Linked DNA regions of Neurospora crassa OR74A. The protein of the gene in region 2 interacts with the protein of the main gene of each other region in a pairwise test. Links are inferred from orthologs where the notes say so. Each region holds a gene or a part of one and is shown on either strand. Other genes may lie near its edges. The genes, in order: NCU08878 and cdc15.

The links.
Region 1: the proteins of cdc15 (region 2) and NCU08878 interact in a two-hybrid assay, tested with the Schizosaccharomyces pombe proteins (3 studies listed by BioGRID). The link is inferred for Neurospora crassa OR74A from reciprocal best matches to the Schizosaccharomyces pombe genes cdc7 and spg1.

The regions. Positions count from the first base shown.
Region 1 is NC_026505.1:35,237-39,576, forward strand, and holds the start of NCU08878 (TEM1), read right to left. Parts: upstream 2,927-4,340; 5' UTR 2,081-2,926; coding exon 1,310-2,080; intron 1,249-1,309; coding exon 1,174-1,248; intron 1,122-1,173; coding exon 1,023-1,121; 3' UTR 1-1,022. Other genes in the region: NCU08877 (glycine cleavage system H protein), read left to right, coding at 4,318-4,340. UniProt on the Schizosaccharomyces pombe protein: GTP-binding protein essential for the induction of septum formation at G2 and pre-START stages of mitosis. Acts via the cdc7 protein kinase pathway.
Region 2 is NC_026505.1:3,692,773-3,697,384, reverse strand, and holds part of cdc15 (cell division control protein 15), read left to right. Parts: coding exon 1-340; intron 341-392; coding exon 393-847; intron 848-917; coding exon 918-1,559; intron 1,560-1,627; coding exon 1,628-1,906; intron 1,907-1,967; coding exon 1,968-2,178; intron 2,179-2,238; coding exon 2,239-3,992; 3' UTR 3,993-4,612. UniProt on the Schizosaccharomyces pombe protein: Protein kinase essential for cell division. Plays a key role in initiation of septum formation and cytokinesis.

The DNA.
Region 1 (4,340 bases), about 3.7 Mb from region 2:
CCACATTGGGAAGAACAACAGGTTTCGGGAAACCGATCTTGTGAGGACAGAACCTTGTAGTGTACGTCGTTTCGGTTCGCAGCCTACGTGCTCTTCCTTCTTGCAGAGGAGGAAGCTCACCTTTATGAGTTGTCCCAACCCCAGTGGCACTTTATTCAGCAGATGATTCTGGTAACGGATATATGATGTTTTGCATATACAGCCTCCGTGGCCATTTGTTTCTGGTCAAGTGGCTGGTTCTATGGTAGACCGACTGAGCACTCCATACGCCGGAAGATACATGGTGTCAGTTTTGAGGCGACACGTTGAAAAAAAATGATAGATGTCTCGGAACGTCTGCGGGGAGAGGCGGGTAGTGTTTCGTGCCATCGGCTTGGAGAGCAAGAAGAAGGCAAAGAATGTGCAGGAAAATACCGATATGTTGACTGCCAACAGGGAATTAAAACACATACTACCAAAGAATGAACATCCAGTCCCTTTCTACCTGTACCGGGGACGATGCCACGCCTGAAGGGCCAAAGGCACGCGCCCCACGTATTCCTTGCGCTCCGTATTCATAGTATAGAATACCCTTCCCCATCGTATTTCGGATTGAGATGCCCAATTTGGTATGATCGGTCCTGCGCCAGCCGTTCCTTACAACCGGACTCCAAAGACTATTATGTCTCGTTTTTATCACGACCCATGCCCATTTGCCGTCCTCCATTGTGCTTTATTTGCTAAGCCACGGACTAAATAATCACAAAATGCGATTGTCCTGATGAGTGGAGTTGCCTCGAGGGTGTTCGGGCACGGGAAAAGGGGGGAGGGGCTTCGAAGCAAATATATGCAAAGGGGACCGCGCCTCGGTATTCCGTTAATTGGGTCTCCCACGTCGCTGTCGAGTGACCGTTACAGGTACTCAACATGTGCCGTCGCTCCGACACCAGCCAGGGGTATTAATGCAAATTGCAGATCGTCGGAGGAGGCCGCTCGCACAGTTGTCGCGAAGACGGTTGACAGCGTCGAATTTACTCATCAACCTATACCGACTGGTACAAGAGAAGTGGCTCGCCAACGTTGCTAATTTCAGGAATTGTGCATTTTAGATCGAAGGCTTTGGATAGTACGATCTTGAAGATCTGCGAAACAGTCAGACCATGCACCAGTTGCGGCAAACAAAGTGTGACGTACCTTCTGGACATTGATGCTGTGACTGGTGCTGCTAAAGATCAATGCCGCACGCATGGCCTTGGCGAATCGCCGTGCCTGGAAAAGTAACGTCAGCAAGCAGGAACTTTGCCGTATACGCACAAATGACGGATCCTACCTGGTTGGAGATTTCCTCCTGCTCCTCCCGCGAAAGGTTCACAAAGTGATCGTACTTTGTGCCTACAAGGACGGGAATGGCCGTCTTGTTGAATCCTCGCCCCTGGCGGTACCATTCCTTGATGCTGTTCAACGTGCTCTTGCGGGTCAAGTCGAACATGAAGAGGATGGCTACAGCATCGTTGCACACGAGCGGCAACATATTGACGAACTCGCGTTGACCGCCAAGATCCCAGATGCTGAAGGTGATCTCGGTGTTGCGGATGCTGATGGTCTTTTCCATGAAGTTGACGCCCAGAGTCTGGATGTAGTCCTCGTCCCAACTGCCTTCGACGTATTTGACCATCAAGCTTGTCTTGCCAATCTGCGCATCACCGACCATGCCGACCTTGATCACGACATGATTGCGCCCGTTGGCTTGCTCGCTGGAACTCCCGCCGGCGGTTGTCCGCGAGCCGTTTTCTGCGGACTGGGATGGGTTCTGGCCGTCGAGCCCCGAGGGCGGTCGTGACGTTGAAGGCTGGGGTGCTGGTGGCGTGGCATATCGGTCTGAGTCGAAGTTGTCGTGTTGGGAATATGACCGTGGTGAGCTGTTGAGGTTCTGATCGAATTGCTGTTGGTAATGGCGATCTGGGAAGCCGTTTTGGTCGGGTGTTATTTGGGGTGAATCCTCCAGACCACCCATGTTGTCGTCTGGAATGTTGTTGTTGTGAGGAAGCTGAGCCTCGTTTGGGCTAATGGTTTGATCGTGATCCATCACCACGGTGTCCATGTTGCTGTTGTGGTTGTTGTTATCGAGGAACTGGTCCGGGGACCCGGCGAAGAAGGGCGATAAGTCCAGCTTGACAATGGATGAGGCCTAAGGAGGGGTAGGTAGACAGAGAGGTTCAGCCTGGGATGCTGGGTTGTCTGTGCGGGCGAGACGAAGACCAGCGGAAAGGGGTCGGACGGGAGGGATCCAGCAATCGGTTTGTCGTGGTCCGTTTGTGGTGTTTGGTGAAACCCCGTATAACGCTTTCCTCGTGGGTTCGGGCGGCAAGCGGGGGGGAGGGGCGACTGCACGAGATGGGACGAGGGGAGGGAAAAGGTTGGTCTTGGTGATTGAGACGGCGCGGTCGGATAAGTTGGCCGTTGGTTAAAAGGATGGGTATATGGCGCGTGATAGTGGTTTGTAAATGGTTGCTTGTATGTTGCTCGTTTCTTGCTTTGCTACCTGGAGACAGACAATTGTGGTTTGCCGGGTCGGCCGTGGAAGATGCAACGCAATCGGGGATCGTGCGATAAGTCGACGACTATGTAGGTATGTATGTACCTGCTGGGCACCCTGTGGGTTTGTTTCACCGAGGCTGTGGAGACTGCTGCTGACTGCGGACGGCGACGAATGGATTCCCGATGGCAGCTGAAGTGCGGGCGGAGTCGTATGTAGTGTATGTAGTGATGCTGCAGCAACGAGCTGGGGTTGGAAGATCGATGGATGGAAGTGAAGTGGGAATGGAGATGGAATATGAATGATTGATGGAAGTGGATTCAGACTGAATGCTTGCTGCTGCGAGATGCTATGCAAGGAGTCGTCGGATTGATGTTGGCGTACCTATGGCTATGTACCGACCCTCCAGAGAGGCTAGACACTCCCGCAACTGCGTGTGCAGGGCTGGCGGCGCTGACGGGCAGCAGAGTGACGATAGGTACACACGATGAAGCTAGCTGGGCACGCACGGACCAAGGGGAAGGAGCTCCAATCGAAGGGAATTGATCAGACCAAGACTCCACTTAAAGATCGCAGATTGTGGGTCCGCTAGCGCTTGGCTTGGCTGGGCTAGGCGCCTGTTTTTCGAACACTGGACTGCCCTGGGGTCCTCTCGTTGGCGTCAAGATGAGATCTCAATCCTCATGTGCGCGGCGGCGCTTGCGGCTGCTCCCTTGTCCGTTTGCCATCAAACTGTACACTAAGAAAACATTCAGCTGTGTTGACGACAAGCCCGAGCGAGCATGTGGAGATGGGTAGGCGGGCAGTGCATCCCACGTCGAACGATTTGAGTTTCCAAATTGGGCCCCGAGATATTGCTATGACAATCACGATTAAGATGAACCCCGCGCCAGAACAACATGGAAGTCCTTGACAGCTGAAGGGAGATTGGCACCCGGCAATATCAAGGCAACACAGCAGTCACGTATGTTTGAGATGATGCAGTGTGAGTGGCAGAAGGGCAAGGTGACACCGGCAGAGGGGCTTATTTCAGTTGTGTGTGGTGCACATCGGGCAACTGAACCGTTGATGAGCAAGAAAGATGGCGATAACTCCAACAAAACAATGGATGTCCACAACAAATTTCCAATATGTAAACAGAACATCCACACTCGGGCCCTTGCAGCATCTGAACCTCATCGGAAGCATCAACCTATGGCGGGCTGCATGTTGGAGCAAGCCATGGCACATCACTCCCCTTGCGCCTTTCCAACGTCTTTGCCTATTGCCCATTGAACCGACGGACTGCTCACACCCTCCCGCGCCGAGTGCCATGCTGCCTCAGCTCCTTGCCAAGGGGTGCAGTGGGCACTCAAAACAGTGGACACTCACTCCATCCATTTGCAAGTCCGGTCTGCCATGTGTTGCCCGGTGACGTGCTTTTGTTTTTCTTCAGTTGATCTTTCCCCAGATCCGGCCCGTTCCACCTTGATGGCCCGGCTATGGTTTGCTTTTTGGTGCGCTTACATAATATGGGTTGCATTCGACATCTCCCGCTGCTCGGTTCTGTGGTCTTGGCAAGCCGGCCTTGACAGCTGCTGGCCCCGAGTCTAGCCGTTTGTCGGGTGGCCGGCACTTTGTTTTCGTCATTCGATAGTACCGCGGATGTACCCCGGGTCCCGTCTCTGTCTGTGCCTTTTTCTGACTTGTGGCCGGTGCATAGGTTGGATTGAGCACTAACAACTACTTGCGACACCACCAAGCGACGCCGATATACACGCCTTCCGTCCACCCCCCCTCCGCCCAAACCACCGACCGTCACAATGGCCTCCATTGCTCGCTGCCT
Region 2 (4,612 bases):
CAGTGTTTTCAAAAGGACCCCAACCTTAGAGTATCGGCGAAAAAGCTTTTAAGACATTCGTGGATTCAAGGCTGCCGGAGGAGTGATGCGCCGATATCGAAAGCACCATCGAACTTTATTCAGGCCGTCGAGGAAGTCAAGCAGTGGAACAAGGCGCTCAAGTCATCGGAAGCCACCCCTAGAACATCGATTGGTTCAGATCACGGAAATCCTTCCACGCAGAATAGAAATGCTTCTGGCCAACATCGTCCAAATCTCTCTATTTCGACAAAGGTGCCCCCACAGCAAGCGAAGCCGAAGGCGAATGCAGAGGTCTTTAGGTCTCCTGCGGTAGAAGCTGGTGAGTATCAAAAAATCAGGACGTGAAAGTTCTAGCTGACAGATTGTGACAGATGATGATAACTGGGACAATGACTTTGCCACTGCAATTTCACCTAGTGCGCTTCACCTCCCTCACATCAAAGGCCAGGATAATTTTGGAGGACTACTTTCCAGCGATCGGCTCAAAGCGTTTGCGTCCATTGACAGCTCGCGGGAAGATACGGAGAATTGGGACGAAGACTTTGGCGGAGAATTTGAGCAGACGATTCGTCCCTTGCCGAAACGGTCAGATAGGGTGTCCGATTCCAAGTCTTCTCAGCAAGGACATAGGCGGCAAAGGAGCAGCAAAACCACGATTTCAAGCGCCTCCCAGACTAAGTCGCCTGTGAGGACGCAGTTCGGAAACAAGTTTGAACTTCCACCCCGTCCTGAATCAATCTATCGTGAGCAGTCTACCGAGGATTACTCTGATCTCTTTGGCGATACGGACTCTGTCTTCAGTAGCCGGCTTAATGTTGCTGTCAAGGTAAACCTTCTCTCTCCCTCTTTGTCGCCTGATCCCTGTCGCCAATTTGCTGACCGTCTTGCTTTTGTAGGACGCCCCGCAACTATTTCACCCTTCTGATCTCACTAGTTTACCGCGCTCTACGGCATCACCTGTCAATGGCAGCAGCGGGCGGAGACAGTCAGCTTCCGCGCGGTCACCATCAGCCCCTGAGAAGCCCGCCGTCCGAAGGACAAGGATGACAGTAGAGATCACAAAGTTTGCTGAAGACGAGGGTGATGAGGACTTTTCGGACATTTTCGGGGCCGAACCGGAAAGCTTCACAAAGCCGCCCAAGAGCGATGAGGGATCAGAAGATGGCCATCAACTCATGCTCCTTTCCAAGTTGTCCAACAATTCTTGGCTTGGGGACGACGAAGATGAAGACGACCCCTTTGCGATGATGGATCCAGGCTGGGATGAGATGGATCTCGAGGCCAATATTGCTCGTGATAGACATGCTAGGTTGGCCGAGAAGGTGGAAGAGAGGGTCAAATCTTTGAAGCCGACGGAGAGTGAGGATATACTTGCTGATCTGGCTGAAGACTTGCTCAATCTTCTATGGGAAAACAGCGAGGTCAAGGATCTCATCATCAGTGCACATGGGTTGCTACCGATCCTGGAGATCTTGGAGCCCTGCACAGTGAAGAGTCGTCAGCACATGATCTTGCAGCTGCTGAAGATCGTCAATGCGGTAGGTGCCAATATCAGTGTCCATATGTGAAAAAACTCTATGGCTGTCCGAATACTGACTGCGAGCAGATCATATTGGATGACGTCGAGCTGCAAGAGAACTTGTGTTTCGTTGGTGGTATCCCTATCATCACCAAGTTCGCTGCTCGGCAGTATTCGAACGAAATCCGCTTGGAGGCCGCAGCCTTTGTTCGGCAAATGTACCAGACTTCTACCTTGACGCTGCAAATGTTCGTCAGTGCAGGCGGTCTCAATGTCTTGGTAGAGTTTCTGGATGAAGACTATGACATGTCGCCAGACCTTGTTCTTATCGGCGTGAATGGCATTTGGAACGTCTTTGAGCTTCAGGTAAGCCTTGTCCTTCAACACATGTCTTGATGTCAAGAAATCGTGCTGACTGTCACTCTAGGGCCCAACCCCAAAGAACGACTTTTGCCGCATATTCTCGCGAAGCAAAATCTTGGACCCATTAGCTGCAGTGCTGCACAAGGTCTTGGATGAAGATGATAGGGATGAGCTGTCCGAGCTGATTGAAGCTCGCATCGTCAACATTTTTTATCTCTTCTCGCAAGCTGAGAACTATGTGAAGGAAGTCGTTGCCGAGCGCTTTGTACTCAAAAGTATGTACCCCTTATCATTATAAGGCCGGGTCAGTTGCTAATTACCATCACTCAATATAGCTGTCCTAAAGGACCTCAGGCGGATGACACCTGCTCACCAAATCACTATGCTCAAGTTCATCAAAAACTTATCCATGCTGTCAACCACGTTAGAGTCATTACATTCCGCTGATGCCATTGACTACTTGATCGACGTTTTGAGCAACTCGATGAAGAGAGGGCAGCAGCATTTCCGCGAGATCTCCAATCAAGTGCTCAACACCATGTTCAACCTATGCCGACTCAGCAAGGAGCGTCAGGAATACGCTGCCAGCAATGGTATCATTCCACTGTTGCTCAAGATCATGAAGACTGATCGGCCGCCCAAGGAATTCGTCCTCCCTATTCTCTGCGACATGGCGCACTCGGGCAGCAAGGGCCGAAGATATTTGTGGCAGAACAATGGGCTGGAATTCTACGTTTCGCTCTTGGCAGATCAGTATTGGCAAGTCACCGCGCTGGATGCTATCTTTGTCTGGCTAGAAAAGGAGACGGCCAAGGTTGAACACCATTTGCTCGACGGCAACTTTACCACGGCGATCACGTCTTGCTTCAACACTAACAAGGCAAATGCTTTCGACGCCAACCTTCTCGAACCGCTTCTGAAGCTTGTACGACTTAGTCCCTCTGTGGCAGCATCACTTGCCAAGGTGGAGATGTATGCTGGTATCGCCCAGAAACTGAGCCACAAGAAGGCCGTTGTGCGCCTCAACTTGCTCCGTCTCGTGCGCAGTATCATGGACGGCTGCGAAGTCAACAACACTCCCATGGCGACCCTAGCCACTTCGACTGCGGGCCGTGCGCTGCGTGTTCTCTTTGACGATATACAAATACTGGCAGATAAGGATCCAGCAGTATTGGTGCGTAACTTGGCATCGGAGATCGTTAGAAGCCACATCGACATCGACCTACAACACGACGTAGCAGCCTTGGGCGCACTAAATATGGGCGCTGGGCCCTCGGCCATCCCCAATCCGCTCAACAACCTGAGTTCTGGACCACGCTCGCGGTCTGGCCCCCGGCGCAATACTAGTTATACACCGCCAGGCTTACATGCCAGCATGTCCATGCCGCCCACACCCACGCACGGTCACCGAGCCTCGCATTCGTCTTCGGCCGCATACATCGAAGTAGCATCAACGCCGAAACGCTCCGGAATCTCCCTAGCCCAGGAGCGCGAAGCAATGTATCGGCCGCACAGCAGAGACGGCGGCGTCCCGCTGATCAATATCCCACGCCGAGTTAGCCAAGACACCTCAGCGGGCATTCCTTCGTTGTCCTCATCCATGGGCTCGGCCGGTGGCCTAGGGACGCCCTCAAGGATGCGACTGCCCCGCATGTCCATGACGCAGTATAGTTCTCCTAGACCGAGTCTATCATCTGCCGCCACGGCGCCCGGAGCGGTCTCAGCGACGGGCATGGGGATAGGTAACTCAAGCATAGCGAGCAGTCGTGCCGAGCGTGAGCGAGAGCGAAGCGAAAGTTCACTGAGTAACCATAACAAGGAGAACTACGGGCGGATAAGGTCCGGATCATCAGTTGCGGGTCCCGAGGCGAGGATTCTCGGAGGAGGAGGGCTGTACTCGGTCTCGCCGACAGGGAGTGCAGTGAGCTTGTCCAGCAGTTTTCAAGGTAGTGGAGGAGGAGGAAGTGAGGGGTTCTCACGCAGCTACGGAGCGAGGGAATCATCGTTCTCCGTTATGGGTGGTAGTGCGGGCGCCGGAAACGCTAAGCGCAGAAGTCGAGCACCTAGTTCGGACATGAGGTGGTCGTAGGACGGTCATCCTCTGTTGCCGAATAGTAAGCAGACAACTGTTATTGGTGATGGCTCTGAGTCTGGTGATAACGAAAGGCAGCGTCTTGGTAGTGCTCGTGGGACTGGGAGCGAGGCGGGAGTTTCTACTTCTTCGTCTACGGCGCCGAGTACACCTACTAGTAGCGGTGGCAGGATTATGGGTGGGAAGAGTGAAGTTCCGCTTAGTGCTTGCGGGAAAAAGACTGCTGGTGGCAATATCGCTTCTGGTAGTAGTAGAGAGGGCGTTGTTCGTCCTAGTTCTTCTGGCGCTGGCAGTAGTGGTGGTGATGGTGGTCTTCAGCATGGTCATGTTAGACAACCCAGACGGGGGCTATTATTGTCTGGTCGAACGAATTCGTATCCTGTTCCTGCTTCGGCGGTTAGAGATGATAGGAGAAGAAGATAAAATAGTGTTATGGATAAAAGAACGATCATGACCACTCACTGAAATAAAAGGGGGAAAGAGGAAGAGGACGGACGGAAGGAGGCGTTACTTTGCTCATTTTTATTGTGCAGGATATCTTTACAGGGCATGTATTTCATCCAAGATCGTTAGAAGACCTTCACAAGAAGTAGAAGTATCCGTGTTTGGGAATTGGT